4 linked regions of the Saccharomyces cerevisiae S288C genome follow. Changing the gene in region 2 together with the main gene of any one other region gives a genetic interaction. Each region holds a gene or a part of one and is shown on either strand. Other genes may lie near its edges.

The links.
Region 1: mutations in SPT4 (region 2) and SGV1 are lethal when combined (synthetic lethality), as found in Saccharomyces cerevisiae (2 studies listed by BioGRID, with this or other methods).
Region 3: mutations in SPT4 (region 2) and ELF1 are lethal when combined (synthetic lethality), as found in Saccharomyces cerevisiae (3 studies listed by BioGRID, with this or other methods).
Region 4: mutations in SPT4 (region 2) and DST1 impair growth when combined (synthetic growth defect), as found in Saccharomyces cerevisiae (4 studies listed by BioGRID, with this or other methods).

What each region holds. Positions count from the first base shown.
Region 1 is NC_001148.4:863,784-868,179, reverse strand, and holds SGV1 (cyclin-dependent serine/threonine protein kinase SGV1), read left to right. Parts: upstream 1-1,757; coding exon 1,758-3,731; downstream 3,732-4,396. Other genes in the region: ORC4 (origin recognition complex subunit 4), read left to right, coding at 1-1,465; GPH1 (glycogen phosphorylase), read right to left, coding at 4,166-4,396. UniProt on the Saccharomyces cerevisiae protein: Serine/threonine-protein kinase component of the BUR kinase complex involved in transcription regulation.
Region 2 is NC_001139.9:616,871-619,571, forward strand, and holds SPT4 (transcription elongation factor SPT4), read right to left. Parts: upstream 955-2,701; coding exon 646-954; downstream 1-645. Other genes in the region: membrane insertase COX18, read right to left, coding at 1-408; VHT1 (Vht1p), read right to left, coding at 1,207-2,701.
Region 3 is NC_001143.9:151,398-154,239, forward strand, and holds ELF1 (Elf1p), read left to right. Parts: upstream 1-1,871; coding exon 1,872-2,309; downstream 2,310-2,842. Other genes in the region: RCN1 (Rcn1p), read right to left, coding at 2,419-2,842. UniProt on the Saccharomyces cerevisiae protein: Transcription elongation factor implicated in the maintenance of proper chromatin structure in actively transcribed regions.
Region 4 is NC_001139.9:415,758-418,945, forward strand, and holds DST1 (transcription elongation factor DST1), read left to right. Parts: upstream 1-1,725; coding exon 1,726-2,655; downstream 2,656-3,188. Other genes in the region: RNA15 (Rna15p), read right to left, coding at 389-1,279; YGL041C-B (uncharacterized protein), read right to left, coding at 2,947-3,129; DPC13 (Dpc13p), read left to right, coding at 3,068-3,188. UniProt on the Saccharomyces cerevisiae protein: Necessary for efficient RNA polymerase II transcription elongation past template-encoded arresting sites.

The sequences.
Region 1 (4,396 bases), on a different chromosome or scaffold from region 2:
TAAAGACAGCGACCCTGGTTTTGGTTCCCTTCAAAGAAGGTTACTGCAGCAACTTTATGGCACACTTCCTACGGACGAAAAGATAATCTTCACATATTTACAAGATTGTCAACAAGAGATCGATAGAATCATTAAACAATCCATTATTCAGAAAGAGAGTCATTCAGTAATTCTCGTGGGGCCCAGACAAAGTTACAAAACATACTTATTAGACTATGAACTGTCTTTGTTGCAACAATCTTATAAAGAGCAGTTTATAACTATCAGGTTGAATGGGTTTATTCACTCCGAACAAACAGCTATTAACGGTATAGCAACTCAATTGGAACAGCAGTTGCAGAAAATTCATGGCAGTGAAGAAAAAATTGACGATACTTCATTAGAGACTATTAGCAGTGGTTCTTTGACAGAAGTGTTTGAGAAAATTCTTTTACTCTTAGATTCGACCACGAAGACAAGAAATGAAGATAGTGGTGAGGTTGACAGAGAGAGTATAACAAAGATAACAGTTGTTTTTATATTCGATGAAATTGATACATTTGCTGGGCCTGTGAGGCAAACTTTATTATACAATCTTTTTGACATGGTAGAACATTCTCGGGTACCTGTTTGCATTTTTGGCTGCACAACGAAATTAAATATCTTGGAATATTTAGAAAAGAGGGTAAAGAGTAGATTTTCTCAAAGAGTGATTTATATGCCGCAAATACAGAATCTAGACGATATGGTTGACGCCGTCAGAAATTTACTTACAGTTCGCTCTGAAATCTCCCCCTGGGTTTCACAATGGAATGAAACGTTGGAAAAAGAACTATCCGACCCTCGATCGAATTTGAATAGACATATTAGGATGAATTTCGAAACCTTTAGGTCATTACCTACATTGAAAAATAGCATAATTCCATTAGTAGCGACATCCAAAAATTTTGGTTCACTCTGCACTGCCATAAAATCGTGTTCTTTTCTTGACATATACAATAAGAACCAACTATCTAATAATTTAACAGGAAGGCTCCAATCTTTATCCGATTTAGAGTTAGCCATTTTGATCTCAGCCGCTAGGGTTGCCTTAAGGGCGAAAGACGGATCTTTTAATTTTAATTTAGCTTATGCAGAGTATGAAAAGATGATTAAAGCTATCAACTCCAGAATTCCCACCGTGGCTCCTACTACAAATGTGGGAACAGGTCAAAGTACTTTTTCTATCGACAATACTATCAAACTATGGTTGAAAAAGGACGTCAAGAACGTTTGGGAAAATTTAGTGCAACTGGATTTTTTTACCGAGAAATCAGCCGTTGGTTTGAGAGATAATGCGACCGCAGCATTTTACGCTAGCAATTATCAATTTCAGGGCACCATGATCCCGTTTGACTTGAGAAGTTACCAGATGCAGATCATTCTTCAGGAATTAAGAAGAATTATCCCCAAATCTAATATGTACTACTCCTGGACACAACTGTGAATCTTGGGAACAATATACAGACATTTTATTGGCGGTAGCAACTCTGATATTCCACTGTTCAGCTTTCCTAATAAGTAAGTTCAAGATTATGTGGTCATCGCGTCGAACGGAAATACACCCATACACCAAACCTCTGTGAATTTGAAAAATTCACATATGCATTTAATAGAGCATAGGCAATGTAGAGAGAGAAATTAACAATGGTGAAAAGAAATATTACCAAACACCAGCAAAAGAAATTGTATAGTATTAGCAGTACATTCGTGGTCAAGCAGAATAACAGTAAAATAATATGAGTGATAATGGTTCCCCCGCGGTTCTTCCAAAAACCGAATTTAATAAATACAAAATCGGCAAAGTGAAGAGTACACCAGCCATCCAGCGAGATGCGAAGACTAACTTAACATACATCAAACTAAGAAAAAGAAGTAGTGAGAAAGTTTACGGGTGTACAGTTTTCCAGAATCATTATCGTGAGGATGAAAAATTAGGACAAGGAACATTTGGTGAGGTTTATAAGGGAATTCATTTAGAGACTCAAAGACAAGTGGCAATGAAAAAAATTATAGTTAGCGTTGAAAAAGATCTGTTTCCTATAACTGCACAACGAGAAATTACTATTTTAAAGCGTTTAAACCACAAAAATATTATTAAACTAATCGAAATGGTGTATGACCATTCACCGGATATTACAAATGCGGCATCCAGCAACCTACATAAGTCATTCTACATGATCCTGCCGTATATGGTAGCAGATCTGTCGGGCGTTTTGCATAATCCGAGAATCAACTTAGAGATGTGCGATATAAAGAATATGATGCTACAAATATTAGAAGGCCTAAATTATATTCATTGTGCAAAATTCATGCATAGGGATATAAAGACAGCAAATATTTTGATTGACCACAACGGTGTTTTAAAGCTTGCTGATTTTGGTTTAGCAAGATTATATTATGGCTGTCCTCCAAACTTAAAGTATCCTGGTGGTGCAGGTTCCGGCGCCAAATATACATCAGTAGTCGTAACGAGATGGTATAGAGCACCTGAGTTGGTGCTTGGTGATAAACAGTATACAACAGCTGTTGATATATGGGGTGTCGGATGCGTTTTCGCAGAATTTTTTGAGAAAAAACCTATTTTACAGGGAAAAACGGATATTGATCAGGGACATGTTATTTTCAAACTACTTGGTACACCGACAGAAGAAGATTGGGCCGTGGCTAGATATTTGCCAGGTGCTGAACTAACAACAACTAATTACAAGCCAACGTTGAGGGAAAGATTTGGTAAATATCTAAGTGAAACAGGTCTAGATTTTTTAGGACAGTTGTTAGCGTTAGATCCTTACAAGAGGTTGACCGCTATGTCTGCTAAACACCATCCTTGGTTTAAAGAGGACCCTTTACCATCAGAGAAGATAACATTACCGACGGAAGAAAGTCATGAAGCTGATATTAAGAGGTACAAGGAAGAAATGCACCAATCATTGTCCCAAAGAGTACCTACTGCGCCAAGAGGTCATATAGTTGAAAAGGGTGAATCACCTGTCGTGAAAAATCTTGGGGCGATCCCAAGAGGCCCCAAGAAAGATGACGCAAGTTTTTTGCCTCCATCAAAGAACGTATTGGCTAAGCCGCCTCCTTCGAAAATAAGAGAACTACATCAAAATCCTAGACCGTATCATGTGAACAGCGGATATGCTAAAACTGCGATTCCACCGCCAGCAGCCCCTGCAGGAGTTAATAGATACGGACCCAACAATAGTTCCAGAAATAATCGCTTCAGCGGCAACAGCACTGCACCCAACAACAGCAGGAATCCCGTAAATCGATTTCATCCTGAGACAAATGTCAGCTCTAAATATAATAAAGTACCTTTGCCATTGGGGCCTCAGTCAAGATACCAGGGTAATTCAAATGAGTCCCGGTACAAAAACTCGCCAAATGACTCTAGATATCATAACCCTAGGTACGTGAACAAGCCGGAAACCAACTTCAATAGGCAACCACAGAAATATAGTCGCCAAGAATCCAATGCGCCAATCAATAAAAATTATAATCCTTCAAACGGTTCTCGCAATATGGCTGGTGATCATCATCAAGGCTCGAGACCTTCTCATCCACAATTCCCAATCTCGCCCTCACAGGGGCAGCATCAGCTTACGAGTAAACCAATAGAGAAAAAAAATGGAAGCTTTAAGGATGAAAGAGCGAAACCAGATGAGTCTAAGGAGTTCCAAAATAGTGATATTGCAGATCTATATTAGGTTATACTATTCTCTCTTCCTTTCTGGCCTCGTGGCTAATTACGGAAAGTTGTATACTGACTACTATGTAATCTATCACGTTTTGTCACTGTCTCGCTCTTTTCAAACAATCCATAAAATCGAAACTATTGTCAAAACGTCAGTACATCCTACCTGATAGGGACTGTACCAATGTCAACGTTCGAGTAAGTGATAATAAGGACCGCCTTACCCACCTTCAGGACACTCGGTTTTACACAAGCGTTATCCTGCGCGGATTTTCAATATGAAAACAACTAAGTTTTCCTGTAACATCATATATACCATTTAAAAGAGTGCCAAAAAACCGATAACGATTATTTTAAAGGCGTTTTATATAAGAGAAGAAGTAAAGAGAAAAAAGCGCTTACTAGAAATGGGGAGAAGGGTGCCAAAGAGATAAAAAAAACTCCCAGCTAAGTCACTGGTTCAACGTTCCAAATGGTATCGGAGTATTCCTCGATACAACGATCACTGCTAAAGAAGCCGACGTTTGCAACGCTCAGGACACTCTTTTTTAACCATTCTGACCTTTGATTGTGGAACTCCTGGTCCACTAATTCATGGGTGGCCAGATAGGATTCAAAGTCATCACTGACCAGGTAATAATCGCCGTGGTACTTAATACTGTCGACTAAAGGTTTGAA
Region 2 (2,701 bases):
TGTCAAAACGCCAGCATTCTGTAGTTGTAACGGCATGAAAGAACCGTTGGAGCTAATTCTGGCGGCATTTCTAGACTTTTTATTAGTAACGGCTGCCAGTCGAAGTTTAATAATGGGCGTTATTGGCTGTACTAATTTCCTCAGTTCTTGTTGTTTCAAAATTCTCCTCCGCTGCCATATACTGAATGGCAGCGTCACGAGGGTTCTAAGGGTCATAGTAGTCAAAGGAACAAGCACTATCCATGGTATATGTGAGGCTTCATGCACTGTTAAAAACGTGTCCGCTACACTTTGAAAAAGTGAAAAGCTTCTCTTTGTACTTGGATTAGTCCTACCATATCGCAGACCGACTGAGCTGCACGAGAATGACGCAAAACCATTTTGACGATTGGCTAACCTCTTTAACATAATGCCATACTTTATCTTGAAATTTTCCTATCCTTGGACCTTTTTTTTCTAATGAAAGTCTTTTTAGCCTTAGTTGAATTACTGGACGGTAGAAAAATTGGGTTTGCCAGCAAAAACAAAAGTGCAGAACGTTAAATAAATGAAAGCATAAACTCATATGCTAGAATATTTACTAAAAAAAAAAAAAAGTAAAAAAAATTCATTACTATTATACATGTGATATCAGAACGGAAGGTTTTACTCAACTTGACTGCCATCCCTCGGTTTGTAGTGAGGCAACAGCTCCACAACCTCAGCTGGTAGTCTACCATCGACCTTGATGGCGTACATACCAGCTATACTATGATCTACGCTCAGCCACTTTGCTACCCACGACTTAGTAGGCTTACACATTCCTACGAGGCCCTCGAAAGAAGGCGACGTACATTCCATTGTAGAAACACCTGCCTCTTCAAAAATACCCTGACAGTTGGGACAACCATCTCTATTAAACTCATTTGTGGTCTGCACTATGCCACACAGCATACAGGCTCTTTCACTAGACATCTCTTACACTGTACCTCGTTCGCTTTTGCCAAACTGAATGTGGCCAGGTGTAATTATTACACAGTACATCCTTCGAGCCCTTTCTTAAATTTCACTTTTTCACTCGATTTCACTCATAGAACGTATAAGGTGACCTTTATCAACATCGAGATTAATTATAGATAGAAGATGATTAAATTATATACATGAATATATTTATTTGAGGTATGGTGTCTAAAGCGTAATATACCTATCTACTTCACGTAAATTGGACTACGAGGACCGCTTTAAATAGTAGTAACCATCTCTTTCCTCCATATTTTTCTTTACAAATTCTGGAAGCTCTTCACCCTTATTACTATCATACAAGATGATACCATTACCTAGAGCATGTTTCTTTTCGTTTCTCTTGTAAAAAAAAAGTACAACAAACGTCCATAAACCGTAAATAGCACCAAAAATTAAGCTCACGGTGTAACCAGTCTTAAAACGTGGTGACTCCACGGTAGGCCACGCCAAGGTAGGAATCCAGGCGTAAGTGGATTGAGAGAAGGAATAAATGGCGATCCATGTAATAGCCTTCACCTGAGGATCAAACCTTAAGAAGTCATTAATAAACGACCATAGACAAGGCGATGCGGCCACACTGAAATACGTGGTGAAGAAAGCGTACCATTTAGCTTTCGAAGGAATATCCCACTTGATAAGTAAGGCACAAGAAACGGTATTCATTATAGCAGCAAAAACCATGAATATCCACTTACATCTAAATAAATCGGCACCAAAGGCACAAAAAATCACATACGCAAATCCTAAACATGCGGGTATAACACTCAGGTTGTTCACTTGGGCAATGGAGTACTTTGTATTAGACTTTAACCACAAAGTATATGAACCACTATACGCAGTCATGTTATTCCACGAACATGTATCAAAAACAACAAGTACCCAGAATGCTGGAGTACAAAATACTTTCTTCCAAAGTTTTCTGCTCCATAATGGGGCTAGCTTACTTTTATCAACACCATCTTTGATTTGGTTCCTCTTATTTCTGGCCCTTGCAATTCGTATTTCTTCGTCAGTCAGAAATAAAGAGTAACACTTAGATGGTACACCGGGAATAACAAAAAAACCAATAATAGCCGTGGGAAGAGAAATTGCAATGGCATCGATCAGAAACATCCATCTCCAGCCTGCTAGACCATGGACGCCGTTCAAACTTTTGAATATGCGACTTTGCAGAAGTCCTGAAGTCACGGAACCCAATTGTTGCCCACAAAAGAATAAACAGACTCTTGAATTAATTTCATCTGGGGCATACCAACAACCTAGTATATATTGGGACACTGGGTAGTAAGCAGCGCCAAAGGCACTTAAAATAAATCTGTAAGCCCTTAGTTCGGCTAGTGAGTTTGCCCTATAACATGCAAATGTGAACCAAGTCCAGCCCAAGTCCATTACAGGCAAAATAATATGAGAGGGAAATCTTGGTAACAAATACATAAATGGTAATTGGAAGACAATGGCACCAACATTAGCAATAGTAGAAGTGTAAACGTAATCATTACCTTTCATGTTTAAATCTTCCTTCATATTGGAAACATATGCGTTAGTGTAGTTATTCAAATCCACTGACTTGGACCAACATAACATAAAAAAGTATAAAGCAATAATAATGTCTAGCTTGTAAAGAAGCCGTCTTTCAGCCTTGGTTTGAGTAGTATGATTAGGATACAAAAACTCGTACCACTTACGTGATTTCTTGTAT
Region 3 (2,842 bases), on a different chromosome or scaffold from region 2:
TTATGAAGTCAAATTTATTTTCAAACCGTTACACGTAGATTATTTTCCTGCAGTGGTAAGTATCTTTGAAGTGTTGAAAGTTTTTTGGCACATATTTTTTTGCGGATGTGGGCCTGAGTTTCCTGTTAGAAACAAAGATATGCTTAAAACTAAATAACATTGGAAATTAGGGCATAGTCTTCAATGTTATACTTAAACATCACAGCAGGAGATTGAGATGATTGAAAGAATGGTGCAAGAAATGATTCATTAACATTCTTCCAAGTTTTGCAATATTTGCAAGTATTACTATCAGACTTTAGTTGAAGTGACTATGCTATTACCAAATTTCACTGGAGCCAGAAAAATAAAGATCACTTAGAGACAAAGAAAAGTAACATCTTCAACATAAGCCGGAGCTCAAAAGTAGGAAATCGGATAAGAAACTTGATTCTGTTATTTCAAGTGATTTTTTGCTGTATCGCCCACGTTCTTGTTGTAGATGTTTTGTAGATGTGGGACCGAAAGTAAGTGAACAGTGAAGTAAACAGAATAGGATTCTAAAAAAGAGCTTATAAACTGTTCTTTAAAATTTTTTCTTTCGTGAATGTCCTCGAGCTATCTCAAAGAAAACGAAATCTTCATTCAACTTAAGTGTAGGTATTATTTGCTGTTTCATCAAATGCGGCACCAAAGTGGAAGTATTCTAGTCAGTTAGTTTTTCATTGTGAGGAATTGATATGTCGTTCTCTGATAGAACCACGCTAAGTTGGTGTTCAATTTTTTGCAATTCGGTAGTAATTATGCCTTGCAACATGTTTTATTCTTTTATAGTGTGATACCGTCAATATGATGATTTGCGGTGGAGCATGCATGTGCTTACTAGAAGTGCTGCTCTGGTGGGCATTTTAGGGACAAGAATAAATTCTTCTCTCCACTATCTGAACTTCCGTTATTCTTCTGCACGTAATTGCCGTTTTTAGGATTTTTTGGAGTTGTCACGGTATAGATATGTCTTATTGCGTGATTTCACGGTGTCTTGCACACAACATTTCCAGGTCACAATATTTGGTTCGAGGTTCCCAGCAAGAATTCATTATCCTTTTCAATGTGTCGCATTAAATCATTATCCAAAAACAAAAGAACTTAAGAAGTACAAAAGACACTTGAAGTATGCTAGCGTAAGAAATACGGTAACCAATATTTATATGTAACATGCTTATTCTGTCATGATTTCACAGTTCAAACTACATTCCTATTCAAAATCATCGCGTTAGTGAGACAAAATCGGTGGGAGAGATGTTAGACAAAAAGATGACAACATTGGAAATAAACCACGACGAAAAATACCTTTGAAAGGATCTTTTTTCGATTTTCCTGTGAATTTGTAGGCTTTTGATGGTACGAGGGTAAACCAAACTGGACGGGAAATCACCATTATTAGTCCTATGTAGAGCCTCGTCACCATACCTATATAAACATAACTATTCTTTTAAGTACTTAAACGGCTTTTTTCTGAAACAAATAGCCAATGTTTTCATAACGAAGATTCCAAAGTTACTTAACGCTCTTCAGGCACTTCCTTATTTATTATGACACGTACAAAATAATAAATTCGTAGTTATAAGATTATCTTATCATATTTAAAATATCTCTTCTTTCAGTTGAAATTGGGCCCAAAATTTTTACCCCATAGCGTTAAAATTAAACAAAAACTGCTATTTCGGTGACAAATTGTAAAAATTCTGAAAACGGAAGAAACAAAAACGTTTAAAATGATTAAACTTTGGTAAAGCAATAATCTACAAATAATTGGAAAAGGAATAGTAATAAAGATGGGGAGAATTATGAAGAAGAATGTCATAAAAAACACTGAAAACAATTAACGAGCCATGGGTAAAAGAAAGAAGTCAACAAGAAAGCCTACCAAGAGACTGGTCCAAAAATTAGATACGAAATTCAATTGTTTATTTTGTAATCATGAAAAATCAGTTTCATGCACTCTGGACAAAAAAAATAGTATAGGAACTTTATCGTGCAAGATTTGTGGGCAGTCGTTCCAAACGCGCATAAATTCATTATCACAGCCTGTTGATGTATATAGTGATTGGTTTGACGCCGTCGAAGAAGTCAATTCTGGCCGTGGAAGTGACACAGATGATGGTGACGAAGGTTCTGATAGTGATTACGAAAGTGATTCAGAGCAAGATGCTAAAACGCAAAATGATGGCGAAATAGATTCTGATGAAGAGGAGGTAGACTCGGACGAGGAGAGGATAGGCCAAGTTAAAAGAGGCAGAGGCGCCTTGGTAGATAGTGACGATGAATAATCCGGTCCTGAGAAAAAACCATATTTACTTAGGTCATATATATTTTATATTTTAAAGCAACCACCCGTAAGCATTTAAGTCTCTTAAGCCAACAAATCGCCTCGCCATCTTAATCATCGTCATCAGTATCGAATATAGATTTTGGTGGGAAAGCGGTTTTAACGTGGTCCGCTAATTGCATCTGTCCATTTCCATCGTTCGTGGGACATCTATCAATGGTAATTGCGCCCACCTTTGATTTCAATAACGTGAAAGTACCATTGTTATTTTTGTCTGGATTATTAGGCAATAGTTGGCTAGCTTCCAACCGCTGCTGCTGGTCCTGTTGTATATGACTTTGTATATGCCTTTGTGGCGCATCCTCACATTTGCTGAAATCGAATTCGGGAGGTGGTGATGCTGGGGGCGATATCAGGAACATTTTTTCACTCTCTGGTACCTTCAAGTATTGTTTAGTTAAATTCCTTTGTCCGTCTTGCAAGGAGTAGCTGAAGTTAAAATTTTCCATTTCTAAAGCACGAGACGCATCCATA
Region 4 (3,188 bases), 200 kb from region 2:
GCAGCTTGCGCCGTGTTGGAACTAGGCGCCTTAATCATGTTTGCATATTTCCACTATCCCAGCCACGTAATGATCCATGACATTAACATAGAAAAAAAAAATCGAAGCATGCACAAACCTGAGATTTATATATGTTCATGTGTACTTAATATACGTTTAATGATTAAAACTATAGCCGTCCTCAGGCAAACTGAGATAAGAAACGAAAAAATAGCAGTAACGTAAACGTTATTCTATATTTATAAAGACGTCAAAAAAAAAAGTGATTGTGATATTGAGATGTAAGCTATATACCGAACTTTGAGCTCCCTCACGTGGAAAATATGATAGATTGTTGCCTCATCATTGCGGAACCGCATTTTTTTTTTGTATTTTTGCCTCCCTAGTTTCAAAATGCACCAAATTCTCCCCTTAATGCTTTTTGTTTTAAGTCCCAAATAGCCATCCTTTCATCATCGGGCAAGATAGAAATTTGACTGTCATTCAGTTGTAACACCTGTTTCAGTAGTTCTTTCTGTTTGTTAAGCACAGCTGGATCCACCACCTCGTTCACGCTATTGTTATTCGTAGCCGATGCCTCTTCTTGCGGCCTGGAAGCTAACGGGATCAAATCATCCACTTTACATATCCCATTCGTTAGCAATAATTCAGCCGTAACAAAACTCAACTGTGGACACAGCTCTAATAGCGAAACAGCATCTTCAGGATGCGCTCTTGTCCATTCTTGGAATTTTTGTAAAAATTTCAACTGCACCTCTTTCGGTTTTTTAGCTAGTTCGCTCGATATCATCATAGCAGGGGTGGTCATGTTTATGTTAACGTCGATACCAGAGGGCAATTCTGGAAACTTTTGACTTAGAAAATTGGCATTTCCGCTGTTTTGAAAGTCCGGCCCATTACTATTATTATTATTATTTCCATTGTTGTTATTGTTCCCATTAATGTTGTTGTACTGTTGTTGTTGCTGTTGTGAAACTCCCGATATATCACTATTGCTGGAGTAACCGCATTTCAAAAACCTAGAGCCTAATTGGTATCCATTCAAATTACGTACTGCGCTGGCACTGGACTCTAAATCTCTAAATTCAATAAACGCGTACCCTTTCGACCTACCAGTTTGGGGGTCGAACATCATTTTCAAATTGATCACGGGCCCAACATTACTACATAAATCAAGTATCTGCTCCTCTGTTTGATCGTATGGTATAGAACCCAGATACACCACTCGGGATGGTGGGTTGTTCTGTACCCCCGCATTCACACCGCTCTGCCTATTCATTTTATCGTTTTCGTCTTTTCTTTCAATGTATTGATAATTAACGTGTCTATGTGATGCTATTGGTATATAGCCTTTCTTGTATATCCCTCTAACAATTATTACAAGTGTTTCTGTTTAAAGCAAGTGCTAGAAGTGACTCGGTTCTCTTAGGAAATTCTAAACGCAAGATTTCTCTTATGGTGATTGTAACAATTATGAGATACTTCACTAGCCCACCTTAACTTTACGGACCTTCTTTTGAAACGATGCTTCGAATGACAACGCCTTTTTGATATATAATATCCAATTTCATTATAGGGAAATTTTCAACTCTTACCCGCCCCACTGTGCTGATATGACCAAGTGATCACTCGATGATGGGACTACGTATTGAAAAATATTGAATGAAAAATTACTCAAGCAGCAGAACATTCACAGTGTAGTCAGTCCGCATAAGAGCATTCATCATGGATAGTAAGGAAGTACTGGTACATGTTAAGAATCTAGAAAAGAACAAAAGTAATGATGCTGCAGTTCTAGAAATCTTACATGTCTTGGATAAAGAATTCGTCCCCACTGAAAAGTTACTGAGAGAAACAAAAGTTGGTGTGGAAGTCAACAAGTTTAAAAAATCCACTAATGTAGAGATCAGCAAACTCGTGAAGAAAATGATTAGCTCTTGGAAAGACGCAATTAATAAAAATAAGCGTTCCAGGCAAGCACAGCAGCATCATCAAGATCATGCGCCAGGCAATGCAGAGGACAAGACAACTGTAGGTGAGTCCGTGAATGGTGTTCAACAGCCGGCCTCCTCCCAGTCAGATGCCATGAAACAAGACAAGTACGTCAGCACTAAACCAAGAAATAGTAAGAACGATGGTGTGGATACAGCTATATACCACCACAAATTACGTGATCAGGTACTAAAAGCACTCTACGACGTTTTGGCCAAGGAAAGTGAGCATCCACCTCAATCTATTTTGCATACTGCAAAGGCCATAGAAAGTGAAATGAATAAAGTTAACAACTGTGACACCAACGAAGCCGCTTACAAAGCCAGGTATCGTATAATTTATTCAAACGTCATATCAAAGAATAACCCAGATCTCAAACATAAAATTGCCAACGGTGATATAACACCTGAATTCTTAGCTACATGCGATGCCAAGGATCTGGCACCAGCGCCCTTAAAGCAAAAGATAGAAGAAATTGCCAAGCAAAACTTATACAACGCACAGGGTGCCACCATAGAAAGGTCAGTCACCGATAGATTTACATGTGGTAAATGTAAAGAGAAGAAGGTATCTTACTATCAATTGCAAACAAGATCTGCGGATGAACCATTGACCACTTTCTGTACATGTGAAGCATGTGGTAACAGATGGAAATTCTCTTAGAATAGAAAAAGATGAGAGTAGCCACGGACAGAGCAAAGGAAACAATAGGAGGAAGGGACAGAAAAGCCTGTTCTGACTCTATTCGTAGTAGTATTTGACAGCCGGAATCCAGGAAAAGAAAAAGCCAAACATACAACCATATCCAATTTGTTGAAATGGCATATTCATATACGATGTACATATATACATATACTGCTGGTGTTAATTTTTTTTGTCTGTCTCACGTAAAATCTTTTGTTCGTCCAGTTACTTTTAATTATTTATGATTTTCATGTTTTCTTTATTAATCTTCTATGCATTAAATATGGCTCGGTCAGAACTAAAGAAATACAATTTAAGATGTAACAAAACCGACGAATAAAAAGTTAGAATAAACACAAGAAGCAGAAAGTAGATACTACAGCCACACATAATGCTAAGAGTTATATGGAAGCATAGTTCCAGAGTCACTCGTTCGATAGAACTATCGAACATTTCTACCACTAATCACACCAGGAGTTTAAGGAGGCTTTCCTGGATTTCTCCGAGAAGAT